Anolis sagrei: one gene and its partner. The protein of the gene in region 1 binds, or shares a complex with, the protein of each later gene. Links are inferred from orthologs where the notes say so. Each region holds a gene or a part of one and is shown on either strand. Other genes may lie near its edges.

What was found.
Region 2: the proteins of MAPK8IP1 (region 1) and MAPK10 are in contact, whole or in part, in a crystal structure (PDB 3PTG), measured with the Homo sapiens proteins. The link is inferred for Anolis sagrei from reciprocal best matches to the Homo sapiens genes MAPK8IP1 and MAPK10. Residues at the interface, in NP_005447.1 of Homo sapiens: Pro158, Lys159, Arg160, Pro161, Thr162, Thr163, Leu164, Asn165, Leu166; in NP_620448.1 of Homo sapiens: Asp150, Ala151, Gln155, Val156, Met159, Leu161, Glu164, Arg165, Tyr168, Leu169, Tyr171, Val197, Lys198, Ser199, Asp200, Cys201, Trp362, Asp364, Glu367.

What each region holds. Positions count from the first base shown.
Region 1 is NC_090021.1:277,858,232-277,872,945, reverse strand, and holds the start of MAPK8IP1 (C-Jun-amino-terminal kinase-interacting protein 1), read right to left. Parts: upstream 7,489-14,714; 5' UTR 7,122-7,488; coding exon 7,036-7,121; intron 1-7,035. UniProt on the Homo sapiens protein: The JNK-interacting protein (JIP) group of scaffold proteins selectively mediates JNK signaling by aggregating specific components of the MAPK cascade to form a functional JNK signaling module. Required for JNK activation in response to excitotoxic stress.
Region 2 is NC_090025.1:19,258,083-19,273,425, reverse strand, and holds the start of MAPK10 (mitogen-activated protein kinase 10), read left to right. Parts: upstream 1-9,236; 5' UTR 9,237-9,926; intron 9,927-10,090; exon of another isoform or gene 10,091-10,242; intron 10,243-15,343. UniProt on the Homo sapiens protein: Serine/threonine-protein kinase involved in various processes such as neuronal proliferation, differentiation, migration and programmed cell death.

The DNA of each region.
Region 1 (14,714 bases):
CACATTCCAGCTTGTCAATATCTCTCTTCAATTGTGGTGACCAGAATTGGACACAATATTCCAGGTGTGGTCTAACCAAAGCAGAATAGAGGGGTAGAGCAGTAACAGCAGAACCTTGTTGCCTGCAGAAGTAAAAAAGAAATCTAGGGGAGAAATCCTAAGAACAGGACCCTCACCCTCAACCACCTAATGAGGACTGAACATCCTCAATAGCTAGACTGTAGCTTTATTGTAATGATGTGCCACACAGAAGATTGGGCAGGAGAGGGATATGTTGGATGAGGTCATGGCTAAGTGGAACTTACTGTTGCACCGAGCTGCCCTGTCCCTGGAGCACAATATTTTGTGTTTCAAGCTCTATCAGCCATTCCAAAATTAAGTATCTAGTTAAATCATCCCTTGTTTTCACAAAATGAGGTTTCTGGAGGAGTTATATTAGAACTAGGGTGATTTAAATTATTTTATGGAATCTGAAGTCTAGATGAGCACTGAGAAACTCACATTTGCAGATAACATTCAGTTATTCAAAATGATGAAATCAAAGCAGACTATGAAGACATCTCTCTAAACTGGGTGAATGGGCAGCAACATGACAAATCAGATACAACTAAGTGCAAAATGACGCTTATGGGGATGCGGGGAGAGGGGGCTACACTTCACAAATACTGTATACCAGTGGTTCCCAACCTTTTTTTGACCAGGGACCACTTTGACCAGGAACCACTTGAACAGGGACCATTTGAACAGGGACTACTTTGACCAGGGACTGCTTTCCAACATTAGTACCAGAAGGGTGACAAATCAGTTTCTGGTCAACCTTAGATTCGGTTTGGTTATTTGGGATGCTGATTCAGAAAATTGCATCTAGTTTCTGATACGGAACATATGCCATCCGGTAGTTGCCATCTACTTGCCCACAGAAAACCATATTTAATAATCTAGAGCTGATGTGGAAGTAGCAATCTTTCGTGTGTAGTCAGCCTCTCCCCTCCTGACATCCCCATTGCGTTTGCACCATATGAGGGTTTTACGAGACCATGTTGCCGCATGGTTTTGAGGCAAGGTGTAATGGTGAGGCCCCAGACCATATTTTAATTCTTGCAGAGCACTGGTGGTCCACAAACCACAGGTGGGGAACCACTGCTGTATAGTGATGTGGTCTTAGTAGATTGTAGCTACTCGGGTGGGGGGGGGGGGGAGATCTGATGGCAATGATGAATAATTTGATAAAAACATTTACCCCGATGTCAGTACTGGTAAAAAGAAGCAACTACAAATTCTGAATTATTAGAAAGTGCTGGAAAATTAAAAGGCCAGGATAATTATGCATTTATATAAATCAAAGTTGCAGCTGCATTGGAAATACTGGCAATGACACAACTGGAGCAAGGGCGGAAAAGGGCAACATAATTTGTCAGGAGTTTCAAATACTTTAGCCTAACAGGAATAATTAATGGAGGAATGGGTAGAATGTGGTATTCAAGGTCAGAGCTTTCCAAACAGTGTGTCATGACCCTTACTATGTCCACTGCAGTGTGTAGGTGTGTCACATGAAGTAGGATAGTTAGTTATTGTAACCCTTGCTAGTTAACTTTATTCATTTGATTTACCTTAATTAACTTGAGTTCCTTCATGTTTGTTGTGTCCTCATACATTTTGTTATTACAAGTTATGTATGTGTCCCTATTGCTTATAAGGGATTGATTTAACCTCTAGTTTGCCAGTAAAACTGAATTACTGTGTTGAGAAATAATGCAAGTCTAGGTGTGTCACCAACTTGAAACATTTGGAACACTCTGGCCTAAATGCTGCTGGATGGCAATTTCCTTCAGACTTGGCCATAATAATTCCTGGTGAGGAATGCTAGGGGAATTACAGCCCAAAAGCATTTGAAGGGCCACATTTACCCCAGCCAGGAGCCCCCAGTGGTGCAATGGGGCTGCAGACCGAAAGGTTGATGGTTCGAAACTGGGGAGCGGGGTGAACTCCTGTCTGTCAGCTCCAGCTTCCCATGCAGGGACGTGAGAGAAGCCTCCCACAGGATGGGAAAATATCCGGATGCCTCCTGGGCAACATCCTTGCAGATGGCCAATTCTGTCACACCAGAAGCGACTTGCAGTTTCTCAAGTCGCACCTGACACAAAAAAGAAACTTAGCCCAGCCTGGGCTAAATAAGCGAACTAGGGCTTTTCAGTTTACTGGGAAAGCACAAGGTGGGCAAAGTGCTGAAAGATGCTTCTTAAAAGTCACTACTTTCACTTAAAAGTGGTCCCCCAAAACTATATTATTATAGTTCTAGCTACAGTTCTTTAAAAGTAGCATTTTTCATTCCTGTTTCACATAAATCATTCAAATAGACAACATTTTTTACCAGTATATGTGTGCAAAAAACCTAAATTAATCAAAACACTGGTTTGCAATACAAACAACACTTTCTTCCCATCCATTTCAGTGTCATCTCACAACAGAAAACGAGATGACAGCATAAGGTCTGCACAAGGCAATACTTGAACCATATTCCTTTTCTGTCATAATCCTATAAGCATAAAAGTAACTAAAAGTTACAGTTACCAAGCAAAAATGTATAAAGTTCCTTATTAAGTTACAATCACAATCATAGCTTCACTATTGGAGAATGTCGATATAATCACAATATCTTTGTTTGTTTTTATTTGTTTTGCTTTTTTTGGTCAATTGTTGTTTTGAGCTGGAGATGGAGGAAGTGTCACAGAGGTTAATTACACGGAGAACTGAGGTTACATGGTTTTTATTGTTTTCACTACTGTTATTTTTATATTCCTTTGTGCTCTGCCCAGAGAACACTTGTAATGGGATGGCTATACAGTAATCAATAAATCAATAAATCTTACAGTGACACCAGAGGCACTCCAAGTGGCCAGCTTCTAGTCAAAGGACATTTAGTATAATGTCAAGTTTTAATTTTTGTGTTTTTAAATACATGATAAATTTGCTTCTGACATGATAAATAAATATCAATCAATAAATAAATATTTTCATCCTTCATACAATACTCAAACTTGGAATTGTCAAGTTAAACAGATTAATAGTACACTACTATCCCCATATCTGTGGGGTTGATGTCCATGGTTTCACTCACTCATATCCCAAAATGTGTCCTCTCTATGCATTTTCTAGGTCCTTCAACACAATTTCATGGTTTGTTTCTGTTGGATATTGACCACAGAGTCAGGCTAGGACCCAGAAATGTTAGAGAGGTGTTCTTGCTAGGCCTTTTCTAGGTCTTCCAGAATGATTCTATGGTATGCTTCTTCCAGAAGTCATTCATTTCAATAAGATTTGCTATTATCCCTTGTTTTGCATTTCCACAATAAGCCCGGGAATGGTAAGTCGAGATATGAGGATGAGGATATTTAGTTTCAGGGCAGGCAAAATAAAAGTACTTCTTCAAACAATGGATGATTAATCTATACTATTCATTGACACAAGGTGTTGAATGGCTTTAAAAGGGGGTTGATCTATTTTTTCGAAGACAGGACTATCATTGTGTTGTCGAAACCTTTCATGGCTGGAATCACTGGGTTGCTGTGAGTTTTCCAGGCTGCCTGGCCATGTTCCAGAAGCATTCTCTCATGACATTTCACCCATATCTATGGCAGGCATCCCCAGAGGTTGTGAGGTCTCACAAACTCCGAGGAAGCCTGCCACAGTTGTGGGCAAAACGTTGGGAGAGAATGCTTCTGGAACATGGCTACACAGCCCAGAAAAACTCACAGTAACCCAGAACTGTCGTGCAAAGAAAATGGAACCTTCAACTTCATCAGTAGCATTTCTTTATGAAGAATGTGGTATGCTGATTCAAGCATACCACATTTATTTTATTTTATAACCAACGAGGCATGGATTTGTTTGGCCACCCTTGGCATGACTCACTGGATGGCATTGGGTCACTCAATCATTTTGAGCTTGCCCACTTCACAGGGTAGTTGTGAAGATAACACGGGGAAGAAGGAGAACTGTAGTTGTTGCCTTGAGTTCCTTGGCTGTATATGTGACCATAAAATCCAGAGGAGGATTGTGCCAGGCATGCCAGCTTATGAATACCCAGAAAGAACCTCCCATTAGATCAGTGGTTCTCAACCTATGGGTCCCCAGGTGTTTTGGCCTGCAACTTCCAGAAATCCCAGTCAGTTTACCAGCTGTTAGGCTTTCTGGAAGTTGAAGGCCAAAACATCTGGGGACCCACAGGCTGCATTAGATGGACCAGTTATCTTATCTAATAGGGAACTAAATAAAATGAAATGAAATAATTAAAATAGAGAAATGTTGAAGACCATCCTGGTTATCTATCCTGAATTAGAGATGGGAAATGTGTGATCCTCCAGATATAGTTGGGTTACAACTCTCTTCAGCCTTGGTCAGCATAAGCAACAAAGCAGCCCAACTACATCTGGAAGACCATGAGTAACTCATCCTGGTTCTAGATTTTGTTCCTAACTCTGTTCTTTTCTTCTCCAGATCTGAATGCTTATGGAAGCAAATCAAAAGAAAACAAAATTGTGTGTGTGTGGTGGTGAGGTGGGGCGGGAGGACATGGCATGCTTCCCTCTTTTTTCATGGAGATCAGAGATTGCTCAGGGTTGTTTGAGTTTTCTGGGCTGTATGGCCATGTTCCAGAAGCATTCTCTCCTGATGTTTTGCTTGCATCTATGGCAGGCATCCTCAGAGGATGTGAGGTCTGTTGGAAACTAGAAAAATGGGGTTTATATATCTGTGGAATGTCCAGGGTGGGAGAAAGAATTCTTGTCTTTTTGAAGTACATGTGAATGGCCATACAGCCTGGAAAACTCACAACAACCCAGGGATTCCAACCATGGAAGCCTTTGACAATACAGAGATTGTTCTTCTAGCATTGTACGTATCTGGACTAGATGAAAAGAAAGCAGTGGTTTCTTTTTGACATCTGAAAATGCCACGTGACAAAGTTTTATGGTCTCTTGTAAAGGTTAAATATTAGGCTTCTGAAAGCTCAAGCTTGTAAGAAGCAGACTTGAATAATGTAAGCTAATCTAGTGGCGTCATCACTGTATCAGAGATGTTTTTATTTGTAGGTAGCTTCTTTGCCCATTACTGTTTGTGACAAGTCATAGACTGGATAGGCTGGAGACAGGGTTGCCTTTTCTATGGGGAATCTTGGTTCTGGAGACAACTTGATAATTGAAGGTTTTCATGACCGGAATTACTGGATTACTGTGAGTTTTCTGGGCTGTATGGCCATGTTCCAGAAGCATTCTCTCCTGACGTTTCCCCCACATCTATGGCAGGCATCCTCAGAGGTTGTGAGGATCTCACAACCTCTGAGGATGCCTGCCATAGAAGTGAGTGAAACATCAGGAGAGAATGCTTCTGGAAAATTGCCATATAGTCTGGAAAACTCACAGCAACCCAATCTTCTCTTACTAACATTCAGATCCCAAGATACACAAGACAAACAGACAGCTCTACTCAGACAAAACCCATTAAGTCACAGAAAATCTCATTTACAAAGTCATAATCAATCACTAAAAACCCCATCATCTTCCATTCCCAGCCCCATGAAAAGTGACATATTTTCTTGCAACCAGTCCAGGTTGAAGGCACTCTAAAAATCTTGCAACATGGAGAATCGATTGAGGAGCTTAGTTTCTCTTCCAGTTCAGAAAACATTTCCCTCTGCAATGCTTTCAAATCAGAAAACATACTGGATATTTAGAAACCAATAATCATAGGTTTGTAAAGACAATTCTTAATTCCCACAATTAAAAAGCAGATAAACATAGAACACAAACCAGACACAAGCAATTAAATGAGCAAACATGGAGGAGCTGAATTGCTACCCAGAGGCAGGATGTACCTTCAGTGGTAGGATCATGTTACAATGTTCAAGAAATCATCTCAATAGCCTATGCAAAGATGCTTGAAACAGGTGGTTTCAAGGCCTGTCTGGTTTGTATTGTCACTTCATCCTTGTAAACATGACATTTTTTCTCCTAATGGTTCAAATCCAATATGGTGTCTAATATTTACCACCCTGATTCAATCAGCTATAAATCTGCCTTCAGGATTGGCTTCCAGATTCACTTGGAAGAATAGGGAGAGGGGCTGCTTCACGGATGTCCATGTTTATCAGTGTGGCGGTCGCTATTTCCTGGGAAGATGCAAGATTTGTCTGTGGAAGCTGCTGATATGGAAGGAATAATGAGGGGAATATGTAGGGAGGTCAGAAACAGTGTGAGGTAGTGCTTGGATTCAGATAGGGTTGTGTTGGGTGTAATACTGTGGGGCTGAGATAAGGAGAACAAGGAAGCAGGGGTGTCTGTGCCAGGCAGCTTGAATGTCAGTGATATTTGGAAGATGTGAGGAGGGACAACACCCCCCCTTCCAAATAACCTCTTTCCTTCCAAATCAGCAAGACAAATGCCACTCCTCCTCCTCCTCCCCCCAGCCCTGGTTGTTCTGTTCCAGAGGCGCACACGTCAGCCACACTCCTGTGCCCCACCTGTTCCAGAAAGGGAGAGGCGCTATTGGCACCCACCTGCTGGGCAATGCCACCATTCAGAGGATGTGTGGGGAAGATAGATTACCCACTGCACCCATTATTGCCTCTTGGTTCCTTAGAAAGGTGCCTGAAATGGAGGAAATATGGGAATGGGGGTGGGTGGGTGTTCCATTTCTCCCCACCACCTCCTCATCTTTCAGTGCAGAGCATCTTTCACCTGCATCCTTATAATAAACATTCAGCTGAAATAGACAGATTGATAGACAGGCAGAGAGGAAGGATGGAAAGGTTCTTTCAAAGCACATAGGCTAAAGGGGGGGGGGTGTTGTGGGAGGGGGTCTATGAGAATCCATTGGGGAAGGGAAGGTGGGCAAGTGGGGGGCAGAAAGGAGGCTGTGGCTCCCCCTTTTCCTCCTCCTCCATCTCCTCTTCCCTTGTCCTTCTCCCCCAGCATCTCCTTCTGGGAAGGGCCCCCAAGGATGAGAGAGAGGGGAAGGAAGGAAGGAAGGCTCCCCTACCTGAAATTGGGAGGCGAGGCGAGGTGCAAGCCCAGGAACGGGGAGGATCCGGTCGGGGACGTGGCTCCTTTCTCTCTATCCGCCATTCTCCCTCTCCATGCAGGCGGGCAGGGGAGGAGGAGGAGGAGGAAGATGAAGAAGAGGAGGAGGAGGCAAGAGGCTGCTGATGCTGGTAGAAAGGCAGAGAGAGACAGGCGAAGAAGGCAGGGCTGAACTGGTGCTGCCCCAGAGCAGGCGCGGTTTCAGCAGCTGGGAAGGTAGGAGGAGAGCAGGGAGCGGGTGAGGAGGGGGAGAAAGCAGGGGTCCCTCTCCTCCTCCTCCTCCTCTTCTGCAAGGGGAGCTTGGCCCCCTCCCCTCTCCTCTCCTCTCCTCGCTGGCGCCCCGGGGAGCTGCGGCGGAGGCAGGTGAAGCCGGGCCGCCCCTCGTCGCCAGGCAGGTGGCCGCGAAAAGGAGGGGCAGCACGGCGTCAGCAAAGGCGGAGGAGGAGGAGAAGGAGGAGCCCCTCCAGAAAGGACCAGGGGGAAGCAGGTGGGTGGGTGGGAGGCAGGGAGGGAGGGAGGCCAGAAGGAAGGGAGGGAGGGAGGGAGGGAGGGAGGAAGGAAGGAAGGAAGGAAGGAAGGAAGGAAGGAAGGAAGGAAGGAAGGAAGGAAGGAAGGAGAGATTGATGGAGGGAAGGAAGGAAGACGGGAGGGAGGGAGAGAAAGAGAAGAAGGAGGGAGGGAGAGAAAGAGAAGGAAGGAAGACAGGAGGGAGAGAGAGAAGGAAGGGAGGGAGAGAAAGGGAAGGAAGGAATACGGAAGGAAGGAGAGAAAGAGAGAAGGAAGGAAGGAGGGAGAGAAAGAGAAGGAAGGAGGGAGGGAGGGAGAGAGAGGAGGAAGGAAGGAAGGAAAGAGGGAGGCAGAGAAAGAAAAGGAAAGAAAAGAAAAGGAAGGCAGGCGGGAAGGAGAGAAAAAGAGAAGGAAAGAAAAAGTGAAGGAGAGAAAGGGAAGGAAGGAAGGAAGGAAGAAAAAAAGAAGGAAAGGGCAGCTCTTCTTTGTGAAAAGCTAGGGAGGCAATTAGAGAAGGAAGGGCTTGACTGCTGGCCCTTCCAGACAGGCCCAATATCCCAGGATCTGATCCCAGCTTTTCTGTTTATCCCAGATTATCTGGCAGTGGGGATTCATATCATCCAATTTAAAGTAGAAAACCTAGGATCAGATCCTGGGGTATAGGGCCTGTCTGGAAGGGCCCTGGGAAGATGGGCTCACCTTCCAAGCCTTTCGGGGAGGAAGAGATGATAATGATGATGGTTGTGGTTTATTATTCCAGTATATTTTAACTGTATATTGTTGACTGTTATATTATGCTGTAAACCGCGTTGAGTCGCCGGCTAGGCTGAGAAACGGCGGTATATAAGTATTTAAATAAATAAATAAATAGAGTTTCACTTATCCAACATAAACGGGCCGGCAGAATGTTGGCTAAGTGAAAAGGTTGGATAATAAGGAGGGATGAAGAAAAAGCCTGTTAAACATCAACATATATTATGACTTTACAAAGTAAGCACCATAACATCATGTTTTACAACAAATCGATAGAAAAAGCAGTTCAATACATAGTAACATTATGTAGTAATTACTGTATTCATGAATTTAGCACCAAAACATCTCAATGTATTGGAAGAGCAGTGAAACTGGGCAGGAGACAGACTGCGTTGGATAATACAGAATGTTGGATGAATGAAGGTTGGATAATCAAGACTCTATTGCTATTTTGAGTATTCCTTCTCCAAAATGCTTAGGACCAGAAATGTTTTGGGTTTCAGATATTTTTTCCCCAGGATTTTGGAACCCCTGTCTTTTCACAGACATACATCCTTCATCTTGGAGATGGAACCCAAGTCTAAACATAACATTGATTTACGCTTCATAAACATCTTATATACAAGCTCATGTTATAGACAATATTTTTCAATAATGTTATGCATGACACGATTTGGATACATTGAACCATTAGAAAGCAACAGTTTCAGTCTCTCAGCCACTCATGTGGACAGTTTCAGGTTTAGAAGCATTTCAGGTTCCAGAATTCTGGGTAAGGGGTGCTCAAAATGTAATGATGATAGAACTAATTAAATCCCATGTCCTCAGAAAGTCTTTAATGACAAGCTGTTTGTTGTTGTTGTTGTTGTTCAGTGCCATGCCCCCTTGAAAGTCTTTGATTATGAAGATAGGACAGGCATGGGCAAACTTCGGCCCTCCAAGTGTTTTGGAATTCAACTCCCACAATTCCTAACAGCCTCAGGCCCCTTCCTTTTCCTCCTCAGCCAAGTGGCTGAGGAGGAAAAGGAAGAGGCCTTAGGCTGATAGGAATTGTGGGAGTCGAAGGCCAAAAGACCTGGAGGGCCGAAGTTTGCCCATGCCTGAGATAGATAGCAATGACAATTCAGTGCCAAGGGTGTGTGCACTGCATTTCCCTGCTTAAACATGTGAGCGAGGGGAGGTCCAGTGAAAAAGAAGGGAATCTCAAATAAGAACCACCAAGTCCCCTATTATTTAAGGCCACTTTTTTCTTGAGGATTACTGGGATGAAATCGTAAGGGTATGGCTTCTTTGTATTGATTACATTCATGTTCATATATGTTTCAATTTACAGTGATCCCATTAATTTGTCTTTGGCAAGGAATACTTAGAGGTGGTTTTGCCAGTTCCTTCCTCTAAAAAGTAGCTTCCAGCTCTTAATTTTCATTGACCATCTCCTCTGCTGTTTATCTAAGCATTTCAAGGCAGTAGAAAGGCAACTCCGCCTCACTGTCAGCAGGGAAGGAAGCTTAAGCAGAGCCAGAATGAATGAGCAATGGTTATCCAGTGAGCGCACGGAAGAGCAGAAATTTGAATCTGTGACCAGCCTCTCTTCCTAACCAAATACGGCTCTACCTCCACTCTTGCTCTCAACTTCAACAGGATTCGTATATAGGTGATCTGGGAAGGAATTCCAAGCATGAGTAGCAAGAGAGAATAAGAGGAAGGAAATCTTTCAGTACCTGTCTTAAGAGGTGAGCATAAAAGAAGGAAAGATTATGGATAGGATATAAGAAGAAACAGGCAGAAACATGGGGTAAAATGAGTCAAAATTGGATAGGGTGGAACAAAACCATAAAGATCTTTCAAGACAAGGGCAACGTCCTCATGCTAGATGGCAGATGGAATGAATGACTAAATGTAAAGTCCTGAGAAAAAGGACTGGAACTCTAGTAATGAGTAAGTTGAATAATGTAATGTACTGGCTTTTTATTCTATTGCAAGAGCCTGAAATTAGCAATATTATTTATTTATATTTTTTTAAAGAGCAGCTTTACAGAATACACATATGGCAAACATTCAATGCCGATTATGCAATAACAGGACAGACCACACAACAGAGGTAAAGGCAGTTTTCCCCATCTTATTTCTGGCATCTTGAAGACTGTGCTTGACTCCAGCCATGGTTGGGGTGGAGGTATTTAAGGCACGTGGAGGTATTTAAGGCACACATAAGAAAATGCCAGAAAAAATGCCAGCCATTTGATCAAGGAGGAAGTTTACAAGCAAAGCTCTTTGGCAGGGAAAGTGGAGTGGCAGCACCCTCCACCTCTCCCCATGGCCGGATCCAAGCACAGTCTCCAACATGCGGAAGATGGGAAAGCCTATATATACCTCTTTTTATGTACAGTCATGTGTCCTGTCAATGTATAACAGCACTGAATGTTTGCGTGTATGTGTTCTGTGATCCACCCTGAGTCCCCTTCAGGGTGGATCACAGAGTGAATACTGTATATAAAATGGAATAAATGAAACTATTTCTAAGTACGGAAGTTCTTCCTTAGGAAAACCTCATCAAATTCATAGGGTCTCCGTAAGTCAACCGATGTCTTGAAGGCTCATATATACAAACTTCAAGACAAAGACTATCTCATAAGGTTTTTGTTCCCTACCAAACCCACAAGGTAGTTATTAACTGTACAAAGATCAACCAAAAATACTATCCTTCTTAAAGCATAACAAAGAAAAGTCTCCCACTGCAGCAATGTTATTACAACGAAACCTGAATAATTTGTTTCCTTTTCATATCACAGAATCAGCTGCTTGAAGCTTCTCAGTCCGATGGTTCTTACAGGCGGGAAATGAAATAAAATCCAAGGATTATTAAACCAATTTAAATGTAACACTATGACACTAATATATAGAATATCTTAATATTTAGAGACAACCAGGTATTCTGCCTCAGGAAAGCTTTCTAAAAATCTACATGGAAATCAAGCACTCATCTGGAACCATATCTGCTATGATTTGTGTCAGAAAAACACTGTCACATCACTACAGCCTTTTTAGTGTTATATAGAGCCCAAAACCTCCATTATTTGAATTTACTGAGCAGATATATTGGGGAAAAGGTAGGGCATACCCCATAATTCTATTTCAAACCCATTGCTCGGTAAATCAGCGCATTATGCTTGTTAAAGTGTCAGCTTCAGTCCATGTTCTGTGGAGGCATACCCAAGATAATTTAATCTGAAAAGGTGGACATTCATGCTAGAAACACTACTATGCAATCATCGGAGTGCAGCAAAGGAGTGAGCTTTTCTACTCCCTCTGTTATTATGGCTGTATCTAGTGAGTATTAAGTGCAGATGTAGAGAGTGACAGTTATAGTGCTTTCTGTGTTCAGAAGCATTTCTTGGCTTCACATTTCATGGATTTCTCATTTTAATGTTTCTTTGTACAAGTTTTTTTGTTTCTATTGTCTGCAGCCAGACTAGGAAGGACAAAACTTGGTAATATCATTTTAACCCTGGAAAGCCATTGGCATGGTTACGTTCTAGTACAGTGGTTCCAAACCAGTGTTCCATGGACCATAAGTGGTTCACAAGAATGAAAATATGGTCCACGGTTTACCATTACTCCACCGTTGCCTTGAAACCACGTGGCAATGAGAGCAACTGGTCTCGCAAAACCCTCTAATAGTGCCGAAGCACTACCTGCGAAAGATTACTACTATAACATCAGCTCTAGATTATTAAATATGGTTTTCTATGGGCAAGCAGATGGTGACTACTGGATGGCATATGTCTGAATCAGAAACTAGAGCTGATATGGTCTATCCAGTGCAATTTTCTGAATCAGCACCCCCAAATAACCAAACCAAATCTAAAGTTGACCAAAAACTGATTCGTAATCCTTTTGGTACTAATGTTGGAAAGTGGTCCCTGGTCAAAGTGGTCCCTGTTCAAACGGTCCCTGTTCCTGGTCAAAAAAAGGTTGGGAACCACTGTTCTAGTAAGAATCCATGATCCAGAGATGGAAATCCCAGTATCCTTTAAATGTTTTTGGATTGTAAATCCCAGCAGCTCTAGCACAACTAATGAAGTAGGATACTGGGAGCTGCAGTTCAACAACATCTCCAGGACTCCACTATCCTCAACCTGCAATGAATCAATCTAAGAGATAGAAAATGACCAAGAGGAAACCAGCTATATTAAACTGGAATATTTCTTAAGTACTGTACAGCATTGTGCTTTTCTTCTTTCCTCCACAGTAACGATCTAAGATTTAAGACTCTAGGTGTTGATTTTAAATTGCTGATACTTAAAAAGAAGAACATTAGCTTTCCCTTGATAATTGTGAGCATAAGTGCAAAACAATTTATGTTGCTTTCTGCAGCGCTAATGGAACCCCAGCCAGAAAATAGCTTGACAGGCAATAGGAAACTATGATGTGTAAGGAACCAGAATTGCACTCATAGTCTCATCCAGCAATTCTCTATAACAAAAAGCTTTTGATATACAATTGAAAAGTAAGCACTGGTCCGGTGACAACATAAACTAAGATAGCTCCATCTTGATTAACACAAAATTAGTTTTAAAAATCTATTTTATCGATGTCTATTTACACTTACACTGTTTTTTAAATAAATTATAAACATAAAGCCTTAGAAAAAAATTACAAACAAAAATTACGTTTCTGTTGAAGATAACATTGGGTTGTTGTGAGTTTTCTGGGCTGTTTGGCTATGTTCCAGAAGCATTCTCTCCTGACATTTCACCCACATCTATGGCAGGTATCCTCAGAGGTTGAGGGGTCTGTTGGAAACTAGGCAAGGGAGGTTTATATATCTGTGGAAGGTCCAGGGTGGGAGAAAGAACTCTTGTCTGCTTGAGGCAAGTGTGAACGTTGCAGTTGACCACCTTGATTACCATTTAATGGCCATACAGCTTCAAAGCCTGACTGGTTGTTGCTGGGAGAATCCTTTGTTGGGAGGTGTTAGCCCGGCCCTGATTGATTCTTGTCTGAAATTCCCCTGGATTCTGGCCATATAAGCCTTCAACAACACAAAGATAACATTACAAGGATTGTATGGCTACTAATGGTTTACAGTACATTAAGGAAGAGGTTTGTTAAAAGCCAGGAGCAATGTATTAAAGCTTAATTGTTAAGGTAAACAAGTCCAGGAATTAGCAGCCATAAGTTTCATAATTGTCCACGGAATATTACAGCCATAATGCATTTGTCCTATGCACTTTTCCCTTGGAGCCAGCATTACCAAATGCAATGATAATATATTCTGATCAAACATGCAAAGAATTGCATTGAATTTATAAATCTGGGCTTCACAATAATGGTTTGTCACATTTGAGATGGAATACACTAAATGCAATTTCTATCCTATTGAAAGAAAAAATATGGTGCAGAAATGATTTTTTAAAAGTGTATTTCAGTGTTTTTCTAGGAAACAATTTTATATATCTCTTTTGAAAAAGCAAAACAATTTCAATCGAACATTGGGAACTAGTATAGTGTAGTGCTGAGTGTTATAAAAGGATGCTGGGAACTAGAGTTTGAATTCCTGCTCAACCATGGAAATTCACCCCGTAAGTCGCACTTTTAACCTCAGACGAAAGCAATGGCAAGCTTCTCCAAATAAGCCTTGCCAAGAAAACCTATAGATGCCATATTCCTGCAATGACTTGAGGAACACAACTGCTAAGTTTATCTAATTAAAATCCGAGTTTCTTTCTTCTCCAACTATATTGGGAAATATTTATTCCAATAGTTGAAGGCAATGTTTCTCAGGCAATAGTGAAAATTATCCACCCATCTTTTTAAGCACAGGCAATGATCTCATCCGTTTATTGTTTTTTCAGTTCTGACCCATTTTCTTGAATCATCGAAGTCTAATTCTAACAATCTTCTTAATTGTCAGCCCCCAAAATAGTGCTTTAGATTGGGTGCCCCCCCACCCTCCATTTCCTTCTGGGGAGTAAAATATTGAATTGGCGATTCTATTTTTATTTGTTCCTGCTAACCAAGTTTTTATTGAGTTGTCCCATTTCTTGATTATTTTATTGGGGATATGATAGGACTTGGAACAGGACTAAATATTTGGGGAGAATCATTGTAACAGATTGGCCTACCCTAAAGGGATGTTGTGTAAAGGGTTGGTGTAAAAGGCAGAAGCTAGGCCCAGCTTGCTGAAACTAAGCAGAGCTGAGGGGTGGAGCGATCAGGCAATCTCTAGGTCAGAAGTGCAGCCCGATTGGCTGATGGAATTGGAGGGAAAAGCTCAGGAGTGGAGCCTGAGGCAGAGGGAATAAGATGAAGCAGCCATTTTAAGATCAGTTAGGAATTTGGGATGGAAGGAGGAGTTAGGGTTTTGGAAATAAA
Region 2 (15,343 bases), on another chromosome or scaffold:
CAATTGAAGGAAGATGTTGATAAGCTGGAATGTGTCCAGAGACGGGCAACTAAAAATGATCAAGGATCAGGAGAACAAGCCCTATGAGGAACAGCTTAAAAAGCTGGGCATGTTTAGCCTGCAGAAGACAAGACTGAGAGGAGATATGATAGCCATGTACAAATATGTGAAGGGAAGTCATAGGGAGAAAGGAGCAAGCTTGTTTTCTGCTACCCTGGAGACTAGGACATGGAAAAATGGCTTCAAACTACAGGAAAGGAGATTCCACCTGACCATTAGGAAGAACTCCCTGACTGTGAGAGCTGTTTAGCAGTGGAACTCTCTGCCCTGGAGAGTGATGGAGGCTCCTTATTTGGAGGCTTTTAAGTAGAAGCTGGATGGTCATCTATCAGGGTGCTTTGAATTTTCCTGCTTCTTGGCAGGGGGCTAAACTGGATGGCCCATGAAGTGTCTTCCAACTCTATAAATCTATAATTCAATAAAATTGGAATGATAAACATTTCAAAGTTTAAGTAATGAAAACATCAGTGTGTCATAGAAAGCATAGGGTTTTTTTTCCAGCACTGGGATTACTAGGTGGCCCTAGACTTAGCATGCATCTGCACTATGGAATTAATGCAGTTTGACACCACTTTAATTGAGCAGAAGTAATGATGTAACTTGTTGGAACAGTAGCATTATGGAAAGATTTTTCTTGTTTCAGCAAATTAATCAACTGATAACATATTTTCCTATGTCATGTTATGTCCAGATAATTTAGCATAGGATTGTTGTTATGCCTTGTGAATTTAATTGCCTGGTTTTATTACAGATGCCTTTGTTTTGGATGCCTGTGGCCCATGATTAAATATTTAGCTCTAGTGTGGTCCTTTGGTGGTTTAAAATAATAGAAACCAGAATCTCTCACTCTCCAGTGGCTATAAATATGGATTATTTTTAGGATTTGGGCTACGGAAGTCACCATGATGTGCTAAAATTTACCACCAGGAGTCTGATTTCCACATAATAGCCTTTAAGCCTTCTTTTTGCCCAGTGGTTCATCTCTGCACAGTATTGAGAGAAGCAAAGTGCAACCAGCTGTTAGATGTGTGTGTACTGCAAAGCTGATATGGCTGAGACTGACTGTGGGAAACACAATTCCTTTATCGCAAAAGACAGCTACCGGGAAGATGCAATTTTCTATTAGCCTGGTTGTTCGGAAGACAAATACTGTAATTACTTTTGGGACCCTTTTCAACCTCTGAAAGAACTTAGGCTGTGTTGTCTCCCAGGCATTTTTGTGGGTTGTAAGTGGGCTTAAAAATACAATCCATTGTGCTACACAACAGCAGAGACAGCTAACCCTATTGACTCGTATTAGTGCCACTGCTTTCCACAGTTCATTCAAGAGTTTTCAATGGGCGAATCTGTACACTAAGAGTTTAAGTGAGATGCTTGTTATTTTGCAAACAGAATCTACCTTCTGTACACAAACCTTTAGGCACAAATGAAGAATTTAGTGCTCATCAATTGTGTTGGTATTGGACAGCAATTCTACAGTAGTGCACCTAAGAGCATGAGAAGTTATCTCTAAGGAGGATGAATATAATGATGTGCTGAAGCCATCTGTGAGCGAACATAAACTCATACTTTGAAAAGACCACAAGGGCTTTCTAGTCAAATCTCCAGATATGCAGGAATACACAACTAAAACACTCCAGAGAAATGGCCATCTAACCCCCAAAATAGAGAGCCCACCATCCTCTGCGGTAGTCTAATCCACTGTTGAACAGCCGTTACTGTTAATAAATTATCCCTTGAGTTTAGGTCAGTGGTTCCCAACCTCCTGAATGCCCCAACCCCTTAATACAGTTCCTCATGTTGTGGTGACCCCCCAACCATAAATTTTTTTTGTTGCTACTTCATAACTGTAATTTTGCTACTGTTATGAATCATAATGTAAATATCTGATATGCAGGATCAGGCATGTAGCTGGGGGGGGGGCTTGAGGGGCTTCAGCCCCCTCCCCCCAAATTCTCAAGAAGGCCTTACGGGTACATTATTTAAACTGTTATGTTTATTCATATCATGATCTGATCACCATACTCAATATATCTCATATGCATGGGGGTATTGGGGTAACGATACAAAAGGTTTGCTAGGATAGACCCTCTTTCACTCAAACTCACCCCCCCCCCCAGAACCAAACTCGGCCCCCCCCCCCAATCAAAATCCTGGCTACGGGCCTGTGCAGGATGTATTTTCCTTCACTGGACCAAATTTGGCACAAATACCAAATACATTCAAATTTGAATACTGATGGGGTTGGGGAGTTGTAGTTGCTGGGAGTTATACTTCACGTACAATCAAAGAGCATTCTGAACTCTACCAATGATGGAATTGAGCCACACTTGACACACATAGAACCCCCATGACCAACAGAAAATACTGGAAGGGTTTGGTGGGCATTGACCTTAATTTTTTGAATTGTAGTTCACTTACATCCAGAGAGCACAGTGGACTAAAACAATGATGGATCTAGACCAAACTTGGCACAAATACTCAATATGCTCATATGTGAACACTTGTGGATTTTGGGAAAAAATAGACCTTGACATTTTGAAGTTGTGGTTTCTGGGATTTATAGTTCATCTACAATCAAAGAGCATTCTGAACTCCACCAAAGATATAATTTGGCCAAACTTCCCATACAAAACTCCCATGACTAACAGAAAATACTGTTTTCTGATTATCTTTAGTGCCCTGTCTGGCACCCCCCGGTGACCCCCCCCCCAGGGGTCCCAAACCCCAGGTTGAGAAATGCTAGTTTAGATGGAACTCTTTTCTTGTGATTTGAGTCTATTGATTTGTGACCTAGTCTCTGGAGCAGTAGAAAACAAGATTACTCAGTCTTTAGCATCATAGTCCTTCCGATATTTAAAAATGGTTATCATGTCAACTCTCAGTCTTCTCTTCTATACCCAAGTCCATAAGTCATTCCTTATAGGTCTTCATTCCAGACCTTTGTTCATCTTGACCAACCTTCTTTTGATGTATTTCAACTTGTCAATATCCTTCTTGAACTGAGTGCCCAGTGGACATTGTACATATTTGAGGTAAGACCAAGCCTTAGTCAGGCTTAGTGACAGGCCTACCATATTAATACTGATTAGCTTAGGTTCCAATGAAAAAAATCCAGGAAGGATAGCAGGGGAGCCAACAAAGGGATGGGGAATAAAATAGCAATGGAAAAAAACCCTATTACCTACATCATTTCATGGACAATTCCCTAAAAAATACAGTTATAGTCTTCCTGAGACTCAAACCTTGCCCTCTGGCTATCTATGCACCTTATCCCACAGCAGCAAGAAGAAAAGCTAGACCAAAAAGAACTCTGCATAACTTCTATGTTTTTTCATTGACCTGGCAGATATCTTTTTATATATTTTCATAGTCAAGAAAGCCACTGCTTGATTATCTCATTTCATCAATTTTGAACATTTAAAAAATGGAACGAAAAAAGAAAGAGTAAAAAAAATCTTTTCTTTTCTAGGTCACTGTTTCATCTCCATTTGATACCAGAGGCTGACTTGTCTCTTGCCATTTTCTGGGCAACTCATCAACTCGCTTAGTACTGTTTTACTTGCAGCTGCTCGAGATGGATGGGACTGAAAAAGGGAAATGAAAGGTTAACTTTGAATTGCGGCTTGAAAACAGCATCCATTCTGAGAAGCTTAGGAAATTGGTTTTCTGTTTCTGTTTCTGAGGAATTCCAGGTCAAGGCAGGGACTGAGATGCTACATTCAAAGGCACATAATATAGGAATTTTTACTTTTCACAAGCAAGGCTTGTTATATACCTGGAAAAATGAATGAATTTTCCTTTGGTCTAGGCCTAGAAATTTGAATGCGAATGTACTCCATCCAGCTTTGTAACAGCAATTTCTCAAGTGCAGTTGTTTGTCTTGACAGCTCTTAGAGTCTTTCCCCAAAAGAGGGTCCAAAATGAACATGCACACATCTACCAAAGAACTAGTATAAAAGTAATAAGGATGCAAGGGGCTTGGTGCAAAATTTCCCATCCTCAACAACATAGGATGGCCCAACACTTCAAGACTCTCAGTCACAAGACAGCCATTCATTATGAAGTGTTGCCAGATTTCAGCAAAGTAGGATAAAACTTTGTATTCTCAATTTTTGTTTGTGCAAAAACAAAACAAAACAAAACAGGTCCCTCCCCCAACCTTCTTTGCATCTTCTTTATGTCATTTTTGTGTGTCTTTTAAATAATAATAATAGTAATAGTAATAATAATAATAATAATAATAATAATAATAATAATCTCTACAACTCCCAGAAATCCCAGCCAGTTTACCAGCAGTTAGGCTTTCTGAGAATTGAAGGTCAAAACATCTGGGGACCCACAGGTTGAGAACCACTGTTCTATTGCATTTTTCATTCTGTTTCCAGAATTAGAAGCCCCATATACTGAGCCATGATATTGTGATACATGGAATATAAGTACATATCAATCACTGCCTAATCTGTGCCTCTGGATACATTGGATTGCAAGTACCATCGCCCTCATTGAAAGGGTATAGGGGCGGGGGCTGATCATAGGTCTGCAGGGCATTTGCTTGGGAAAGATATAGAATACAGGGTTCTGGTTGGCTGTGTGATTGCTTGGTACTAACTGTGAGAGCTATTCATTAGTGGAACTCTCTGCCCCGGAGTGTGGTGGAGGCTCCTTCTTTGGAGGTTTTGAAAAGAGGCTGGATGGGCATCTGTTGGGGGTTCTTTGAATATGATTTTCCTGCTTCCTGGCAGCGGGTTTGACAGGATGGCCCACAAGGTCTCTTCCAACTCTATGATTCTGTGATAGCAGCTTCAGCACAGCAGGTTAGTCACCAGCTGCAATAAATCTTTCCAACTGAAAGATTGACACTTCAAAGCCGGGTCAGGGGGAGCTCCGGACCTTCAGCCCAGCTCCCAGCCCACCTAGCGGATTGAAAACAGCAACAGGAGTAAATAAATTAAAACCACATTAAGCAGAGAGGTGTTTTAGGCATGATGTTTCAATCAGAAAAAGGAGGAATGTTTGTGAACAAAGAAAGCCTTTAGGCAAGGAGATGGAGCAATAGCACCCCTTGTGGCCGGAACCGAGCACAACCTCCAAAGATGCCAGAAAAATGGGAAACTCATATATAAATACCTTTATCTGTTGTCTGTATTGTCATGGTATAATTGTCATTGAATGTTTGCCATATATGTGTTCTGTAATGTGCCCTGAGTCCCCTTGGGGGTGAGAAGGGTGGAATATAAATACTGGAAATAAATAAATAAAGTATAGCATTATACTTTATTAGAATGGTTTGGGACCAGCCTACCTTCGTGACCACATTTCCTTCTACGAACCTACATAATCCCTTTGATCTTCTGGAGCGGCCCTTCTCGCACCCCCACCCCCATTGTAAGTGTGACTTGTGGGGACGAGGGAGAGGGCCTTCTCTATGGTGGCTCCTCAGCTCTGGAGTTTGCTCCCCGGAGAAATGAGGCAAGCACCCATCCTGGCAGACTTCAGGAAGAGCCTAAAAACATGGCTGTTCCAGTGTGCCTTCAATGAATGAACAATAATCCCTGACCTTGACTAAACCACACATAAAAATTCCTTTGAATGCACTTTATTTCACCCTCTAGTGCAACTAAACCCCATTGTTTCATCCCACTTGAACCTCCTTCTAGATACACTACATTACTTATCTCACCTAGAGTTTTTAAACATTTTAATCTTTGCAACCGGCCTTGCCCATTGTGTTCTATTATTGTGATTTTATATTGCATTGTGTGCCTATTTTGTACTGTTTATTATTATTATTATTATTATTATTATTATTATTATATTTTATTGATGTATTATTTTATGTTGTATATTTGCTTTGTTGTGATTTTTGGGTTTGGCATTGTGTAAGCTGCCCCGAGTTCACTTGGGGAGATGGTGGTGGGGTATAAATAAAGTTTTATTATTATATTACACGCGTTACTGTGGCCAACCTTCCCTCCCTTTTTCTCTCCTCCTTTCTTTCTCTCCTTCCCTTTTTTCTTTCCTTCTCTCCTCCTTTCCTTCTCTTCCTCTTCCCTTCCTTCCCCCTTTTCTTTTCCTTCTGCTTTCTCCCCTTTCTTCCTTTTCTGCCTATTCTTGGACTGCAACACCCAGCAGTCCTCCTGATCCATCTACCTACCTATCTATATCGATTTATCTGGAGGATTGCTGGGAGTTGCAGTCCAGGAATAGGAAATGGGAAATATGCAGGGATTTGGATGCTCTCAAAGAAATCCAAGGAGAAGAAAGCTTGCCACTTAGAAGCAGTGCATTTGGATCATCCTCCTCTCCTAAAGTTCCTGGTCTAGGGGCTGCTGGGAGCTGTACTCCGGAAGAGAGTGTGGATATGCTATTGTGTGATTTGTTTGCCAGGGAGAGTCATTTTTGCACATGCTTTGTAGCATCTTTTAGCTTTTTTTTGGATTTTTAAGTCCCTTCTGCTGTGTTTTTCAGTGTTTTTATGAGTGATGGTCACTCGTTGGCCTGATAGGTGTATTGTGTCCAAATTTCCTGTCAATTCGTCCAGTGGTTTTTGAGTTATCCAGTGGTCCACACTCTTGTTACATCCCGTATAGACTACTGCAACGCACTCTATGTGGGGTTGCCCTTGAAGACTGTTCGGAAACTCCAACTGGTCCAGCGAGCAGCAGCCAGATTGCTTACCGGAGCGACATACAGGGAGCATACCACCCCCCTGCTGTGACAGCTCCACTGGCTGCCGGTTAAATTCCAAGCACAATTCTAGGTGCTGGTTATGGTTCCGGTCCAGCGTATCTGTCCGAACGTATCTCTCTCTATGTCCCACCCCGGAATTTGAGGTCATCTGGGGAGGCCCTGCTCTCGACCCCACTGCTATCACAAGTGAGGCTGGTGGGGACGAGGAGCAGGGCCTTCTCAGTGGTGGCCCCTCACCTGTGGAACTCACTCTCGGGGGAAATTAGGGCATCAACATCCCTCCTCTCCTTCAGGAGGAAGGTAAAGATGTGGTTGTGGGACCAGGCCTTCGGGCAATCTGACAATTAGACATGGACAGCCAGATGGATGGGACTGAAAGGACTGACAATTGTGGAATTGGAATTTTGAACTATGAGATTGCGAAACGCTGACCATCAATGAGGTTTGTATTGGTTTTTATTGCTTTTATTGGTTTTATGGTTGTCTCTGCCTATACTAATTACTGTTTTCTGTTAACTGTTGTTATTGCCAGAATGCTGTTTTGTTAACTGATGTTATTGTCTTTTGCTATATGTGATGCGGGCATCGAATTGTGCCTTGCTTTTGTAAGCCGCCCTGAGTCCCCCACACCACCCCCACCCCATCCCGGGGTGAGAAGGTTGGGGTAGAAGCAACCAAAATAAAATAAAATAATAATAATTATGTTAATCCCACAAACAAACACTACATTTTTATTTATATAGATTATTATTATAGTATCCATGGGGTTCTAGGACCCCAATGATCCTAACATCTATGGGTGCTCAAGCCCTGTTATATACACAGTGGAGTATTAAAATGGTATTCTTTACATAAAATGGCAAAAGCAGGCTTTACTTTTCAGATTCTTTCTGGGATTATTTGGAATGGGTAGATCAGGCCTGGGCAAACTTGGGCCCTCCAGGTGTTTTGGACTTCAACTCCCACCATTCCTAACAGCCTCAGGCCCTTTCCTTTCAGCTTAAGCGGCTGAGGGGGAAAAGGAAGGGGCCTGAGGCTGTTAGGAATGGTGGGAGTTGAAGTCCAAAACACCTGGAGAGCCCAAGTTGCTCAAGCCTGGGGTAGATAGATGCAGAATCCATGGATAGGGAGGCCAAAGGTAGCCTCAAACCTACTAAGGTAAAGCTGAATGCAGAAAGAGAAAGGTGTGGAACCGAAGAGCAAACCAAGGTGGTCCTTGTCTTGGACCAGATCAAGCACTTTGGGATTTAGTGCATGGCTGGGCTGCATCTCAGTGGTGGGAAGCTCTGAGTAGGTCATAAGCACCCTGCCCAGCCAAGGCCATTGCTCTGGCCATCTTCCATGCCAACTCGGCCTGAGAGTCCAGCTGCTATTGCTGATAAACCATCACAGAAGCTTATTCAGCGTTGCTTTTTTCCTATTTTTTCCCCCCTTGGCCTCGCAGATTTCACCAGGAAAGGAGGGGAGGGAGATACAATGGCTGGCGCTGCAGATTAGACTCCCCCTCTCCTCCCCTCCCCTTCCCTCCCTCCCTCCCTCCTCCCGAGACCTCGCTGGGCTTTGACGTCACGTGGGCTCCTTCCCCGTTGCCATGGCAGCGCCATTCCCCAAGCCGGCTCCCCCCCCCCTTCCTTTTCCCCACAATGGTCCAGCCGGCAGCATCAGGAGCATCCTCTCCAGCGCCGCCACCAAGCGAGGCCCAATGGTCTCCAGATTGTAAAAGAGGGTGATTCAGCAGGACACCTTCCCTTCCTTCCTTCCAGCCGTCCCTCCTGCTTCTTTCTCCTCCTCTTCCTCTTCTCTTTCTCCATCTCTCCCTTTCTTTCTGTGACTGATATTACGCACCAGTTTGAAGTCCATTGCTTCGTTTGCCTCCATCTCCAAAAAGAATAAGCTTTGGCACCAAATCCCTCCTTCACTTGCAAACCCCCCTCTCCCCACACACATCCCTTCCTATAGTTGACCATCACCAGATTCCCTATACACTCCCCTTTCTCCTTTCGTCGTTATACCTCTCCTCTCTCTTTGCAGATTCTTTTTCTCCCCTCTCTCTAATTTCCCCTCTCTCCTTTCCATCACCTGTTCGTCTCTCTCTCTCTCAATCTCCCTCTCTCCTTTCCATCTCCTGTTTTCCTCTCTCTCACTTAAAACCCTTTCTCCCCACATCAGACTCCCTATACACCCCTTTTTCTCCTTTCGCCTTTATCTGTACCTCTCTCTCTGCAGATCCCCATTTCTCCCCCCTCTCTTTCCTTTCTATCCCCTTTTCTCCCCTCTCTCAGTCCCCTTCTCTCCTTTCCATCTCCTGTTCTCCATTCTCTCTAAACCCTCCTCTTTCCTTCCTATCCCCTGCTCTCCTCTCTCTCAATCCTCCTCTCTCCTGTTCTCCTCTCTCTCACTTACAACCCCCTCCCCCCCCCACACACACACCTTCCTATAGTTGACCATCACCATACACCCCCTTTTCTCCTTTCGCCTTTCTCTCTATCTCTCTCTCAACAGATCCCCTTTTCTTCCCCCTCTCTCTCAATAGGGGGGTCATTTCCATCCCTGTTCTGCCCTGTCTCTCAATCCCCCCCTCTTCTTTCTATCCCCTTTCCTCCATTCTCTCTCAATCCCCCTCTCCTTTCCATCTCCTGTTCTCCATTCTCTTTAAATCCTCCTCTTTCCTTTCCATCCCCTTTTCTCCTCTCTCTCTCTCAATCCCCCTCTCTCCTTTCCACCTCCTGTTCTCTCTCTCACTTACAACCCCCTCTCCTCCCCAATACATATACCTTCCTATAGTTGACCATCACCAGACTCCCTATACACCTCCTTTTCTCCTTTCGCCTTTCTCTATACCTCTCTCTACAGACCCCCATTTCTCCCCTCTCTAATTCCCCCTCTCTCCTTTCCATCCCCTGTTCTTCCCTGTCTCTCAATCCTCCTCTCTCCTTTCCATCTCCTGTTCTCCATTCTCTAAATCCTCCTCTTTCCTTTTCTCCTCTCTCTCTCTCTCTCAATCCCCCTCTCTCCTTTCCATCCCCTTCTTCCAGCCCTCCAAGCTACCCATTTCCCTTCTCTCCCTCCCCAGTAAGAATGGGGCGCTTTCCAGAGACCCCTTGACGTCGCCACAAGGAGGGCCAAACCAAGACCCCGGCAAGAGGCGGGTCTGGAGCGCAGGCACTGGAATGGTAGGTGGTGGATGTGGGAAGAGATGGGGAAGGGGGGGGGGGCTGCTGGGGCTTTGAGACCCCCCTCCTTTCCCTTCCCTTCGTCTTTGTGAGAGGAGGCGGGCTGATGAATATTGATTGCTGTTAAAAATAATCGAGGGGAGGGGGAGGAGGGAGAGCGCGCGCGTGCGTGAGTGGAGGAGGGAGAGAGAGAGAAAGAGAGAGATAGAGAGAGAGAGGCAGGTTAATGAAGTAAACTGCTAAGAGAAGCAGCAGGGAGGCGAGAGCTGGACCGCAGGCCACCGGGAAGGCAGCATCCTTTTGGGCCGGTGTCGGGGTTAGTAGCCGCGGCTTGTTTGCATCTCTCTTTTGGGTCGGGTTTGGGATGCGATAGGATCTGCATTGGCTTCCCGGAGGAGGGTGGAGGGGGATGTAAACACAGGGCTCCTTCTGCTGTATCTTGTGCTTCTCTCTGTGCGCGCCCCCCTCCCTCTCCTGTCCTTTGAAAAGGAACCATGACTCTCATTATTTCATGTTTATTTGTTTTTCAATCGGGGAAGCATGGGCCAAGGGATGGGATCTGTTTGCAAGGGGGGGTTGGGTTGTGGATCACATCATAACAAAGATGGCAAGGTAACCATAATAATTAAGGTATTGTCGCTTTCATGGCTGGAATCACTGGGTTGTTTTCTGTCTTTTGGGCTGTATCCCTTCTTAGTATTATCTTAGTAAATGTCTTAGTATTATCTTAGTAATTATTATTTTAGTAATTGTAACAATTATCTTAGTAACAATTATCTTAGTAATTGTTGAAGGCTTGCATGGCTGGAATCACAGGGTTGTTTTCAGTTTTCCAGGCTGTATGGCCATGTTCCAGAAGCATCTTCTCCTGACATTTCACCTGCATCTATGACAGGCATCCTCAGAGGTTGTGAGACCTCACAACCTCCAAGGATGCCTGTCATAGATGCAGGCAAAACGTCAGAAGAGAATGCTTCTGGAACATGGTCATACAGCCTGGAAAACACACAACAAAACATAATAATTAATGTTTTTCTCTCTAAAAAAATCACTTTTCCTTCCCTGATTCTCATACCTTATTCTCTGTTTCCTCTACTCTCTCCCTCTTGAAAAGGAATCCAAAGTGTATCTCCCTCCAAAACTCTCTTGGTGGGATATTTCTCCCTCCCTGCATGAGATAAAGGTGAGGGTCCAGAGGTGAAAACAAGGGGATGGAAAATCCAAGTGGTTTTATTTTTGTCACCAGGAAGTCCTTTCTGAACATAAACATCCCACTGGCTTGCATAACAATTCTATGTACGCAAAGTGGATAAGAGATCCATCTTTCTTTTGAAGGTAGACCTAAAATTTAGGACAAGCATGAAGTGGGGGCGGGTGAGTGGGTGGGTAGCCGGTTGTGCCATGTAAAGGGACATTCTCCAATTGCATCTAAAGACTGCAGCAAAAGCAATGGAGCTTTTACCGGAATAGCCTTTTCGACAGCCCCGGCTTTTACAATTTGTTCGGATAGCATTTTTCTCCTTTCTGCAATGCGGGCCCTGTTAAAAGATACAAAGAGTTTGCATGGCTGTCTCTTGGAGGTCATAATTCAGTGGATCGGTCTAATGAGAGGGTTTGCATTTGTGTGCATGCTTTATTATTTTTTTATTATTTTCTTATCCTCAGTGGCCATAGGCTTGTTTACATGGGTGCCTTTTGCTGCAGAGCCTCACCGTTGCTTCTCCAATGCAGTTTTCCCATCTTCTCATCCGGCTCTCTGGGTGATTTCTTTTTCTGGTGTCTTGCAAAAAAGATGGCTCATCCATGCATGCATACACAGAACCTGGTCTCTTCTGTTTTGGTTTTTTCCTCCTCAAGGAGAGGAAAATGAAGATGGCCAAGGAAAGAAATAAAAGGGGTGGATGATAACATCGCTGTTTTGATTATACGGGTCTGCTGATCTTCTCATGCAAGGCCAATAAAGATGGGGGCATGAGAGAGAGAGAGAGAGAGAGAGAGAGAGAGAGAGAGAACTGCTGACAGGGAAGATAGACAGTGATTGTGTTGAGCTGAACCACATGCAAGCAGGCTTGCTTCCAATGACAGGAGAATGAAGAAGGAAGGAAATGATTTTAGGGCACGTTGGAAGCAGTTGGAGACGGAAGAATCCATGGTGTGTGTTCGAGTTTGACAGTTCTTTCCCTCCATAGGGCTCCTTCCCCTTGTTGTATTTCCAGTTTTGCCCCATCAGGTACCATCCATAGAGCTGCTGGATTAAAATTTCAAAACAAAGGAATGCAAAGGAGAGCTGCTGATGTGAAGCGAGGGGCTGTCCCCTTAGGATAAGACGTGCCAATAATAAAGCAGGACACATCTGACAACCCTAAATTATACTTGCTCATTTTTTTCTGGTGTAGAGTGCTTGGTTGTTCTCGTCCTCCCCCAACCCCCTCCCACCGTTATTGTTAAATGAATGACAGAGGTGGTGTGATATGAGCTATTCAATCAAAAGCCGGCCCCCTTCCCTCCCCTTTTCCCAGATGGACTCTTATTCTACCTCACCATTTCAGAGCATGTAATATTTTTGCAAATGTCCTGTTTGTTGTGGTGGAACACAGCAGGGTGGCTTTGCAATGCTGGTCTGATTTAGGAGAGGAAAAATGAGGGAATCTTTTAGAATGGAAATACCAGCTACCTCTGGCTAGTCCTGCGTAGATGATAGCTGTGTAACCTAGTTGTCTCTCTTGTGGCTTGAGAGATGTGTGCATGTTTATTGGATCTGGGAGAAGCTGTTTATGAGTACTTCCCAGCAAGGATGAGTGTTCAGATATGTTTGTGTTTTGCTGGCTTCCTAGCATAGGGGTCAATAACTGGAAGGCAAAATTGTTGCTGAAGACACTGCAAATTCATGCTCAGAGTTGGAAGTGTTCTGTGTATGTGGAGAAGGGGGCGTTGGAGCAACATCAAAGGTTCTAGGCATTTTTGGGTTTTGTTATGGCTACCTTGCCGCCGCCCCCCCCCCCCACACACACACATACGAAGAATCATAGAATCATAGAATCAAAGAGTTGGAAGAGACCTCATGGGCCATCCAGTCCAACCCCCTGCCAAGAAGCAGGAATACTGCATTCAAATCACCCCTGACAGATGGCCATCCAGCCTCTGCTTAAAAGCTTCCAAAGAAGGAGCCTCCACCACACTCCGGGGCAAAGAGTTCCACTGCTGAATGGCTCTCACAGTCAGGAAGTTCTTCCTCATGTTCAGATGGAATCTTCTTTCTTGTAGTTTGAAGCCATTGTTCCACGTCCTAGTCTCCAATGAAGCAGAAAACAAGCTTGCTCCCTCCTCCCCGTGGCTTCCTCTCACATATTTATACATGGCTATCATATCTCCTCTCAGCCTTCTCTTCTTCAGGCTAAACATGCCCAGCTCCTTAAGCCGCTCCTCATAGGGCTTGTTCTCGAAACCCTTGATCATTTTAGTCGCCCTCCTCTGGACACATTCCAGCTTGTCAATATCTCTCTTGAATTGTGGTGCCCAGAATTGGACACAATATTCCAGGTGTGGTCTAACCAGAGCAGAATAGAGGGGTAGCATTACTTCCCTAGATCTAGACACTATGCTCCTATTAATGCAGGCCAAAATCCCATTGGCTTTTTTTGCCGCCACATCACATTTTTGGCTCATGTTTAACTTGTTGTCCACGAAGAGATTGTACATATATAGTTCCTTCAAAGTAGCATACTGTTTGATGGACCACAAAGGGCCAAAGAGAAGCCAAAGAGAAACAGCCATAGCATAGCAAAGAATACCAAGGCTGACCTACTATAAAGCACCATGAGCAATCTCTTCAGGTGACATTTTCTGGAGGGCAGCAATGCCAGCCTCCTGACTGTTAGTTCTCGACTCAAAAGATTTTGTATATATATTTTTTCTAGCATGTTCTGTATCTAAAGATCTCAGGGCAGTAGGGGGGAAAACACAGCATGATCAGATTGAAACAGTATAAATAATAAAATTCCACCAAAGGGCTAAAAAACATTAAACCATGTAACAAGCTTTAAAAAAGAGACTAGAACCCATTAAAATACTTTTAAACAATTCAAAACCATGCCACTGTACAGATCGGTATAAAATAGAGGTAGGCAGGAGGGCAGATTTTGACTGATCATTGGAAAGAGCATCTTGATGCTAAGGATGGGTCAAAAATTGAGCCAATTACATAAAAAGAAGTGGGATCACTTTCTCTTGATGACTTCAAAAACCTGCTCCGGGCACTCTAGTTGGATATCCGGCATTGAGCAGAGGGTTTGGACTAGATAGCCCATGTAGGCCCTGCTATCTCTGATATTCAAGCTAGGTTTCCAAAACTTTTGTAAACAACATTTTTTGACCTGACATAAAAATTATAGCAATGTGAGTGCCTAGTGTTCCTCCAAGGGAAGGTTATTCCATAACAGGGGAGCCATGTCAGAGAAGGCCCAGATCTCCTACGTTTGCCTGTATGTAAACTAGCATGATATCTCAAGTACACTAGGAAACACTATGCCACCACCAGTGTACAAGTATGATTGAACTGCTGATCTGGTTAGTGTCTATAAATGCACTTGGGAATGGAGGGGATCTTGTATTTTGTCTCAGGAAGCAAAATGTCTTGAACTGTTCCTGATAGATGCATGAGCCATAGTGTATTGACAAGATATATTAACCCAAGGATCTTTGAGGTCAAATGCATACTCAGCCTAAAAATGGTGTACATGGTTTTGCTATTATATCTCCGAAACTTGTGGGGAGGAAATGAGATAAAATATTTGCTTTGAGCAACATAGGGAAAGAATGGGATATAAATGTGACACTTAATAAAATAGGCACCATACTGTAAAGCCCTTTACATCGCTGTCAATGTCCTGATTGGTGGCAGCTGCAAGCTACCCTTCAGGTTGTGTTCCAGACTTTAAAAGAGCTGTCCAGGGTAATAAAGTGTATTCCAAGAACAAGTTCAGAACCATGGATAGCTGCTTTAAAATCTGTAATAAAATTTTGAGTAGAATTACTGAACCTCTGAGATTGCAGCCACTCAAAACTGTTGACAGTATCCCGTGGTCTGTTGGTGTAGGAGGGATTATAGCTTAGTGGGAGAGTTCATACACAGCCCAAGGCCATTTGTCTACTGCTGGATCTTTTTTACAGACAACAGTGCTCTTCCTGTTAAAAAAAATCACAATGCTAGGGAAGACCTTGGAAAACTGGTCATTTGGAGGAGACCAGTGGTTCTGAAATGGAGTAGACAGTGCTCAAGTTATATTGACCAGTGGCTGAGTTCAATATAAGATACCTTCTTGTTTACAATCAATGGAAATACGTTCCACTATGTTTAGTAGAGCTTCCTCCACATAAGTATGAGTGTAGTACAATCCAAGCATTGACTGACTTCAATG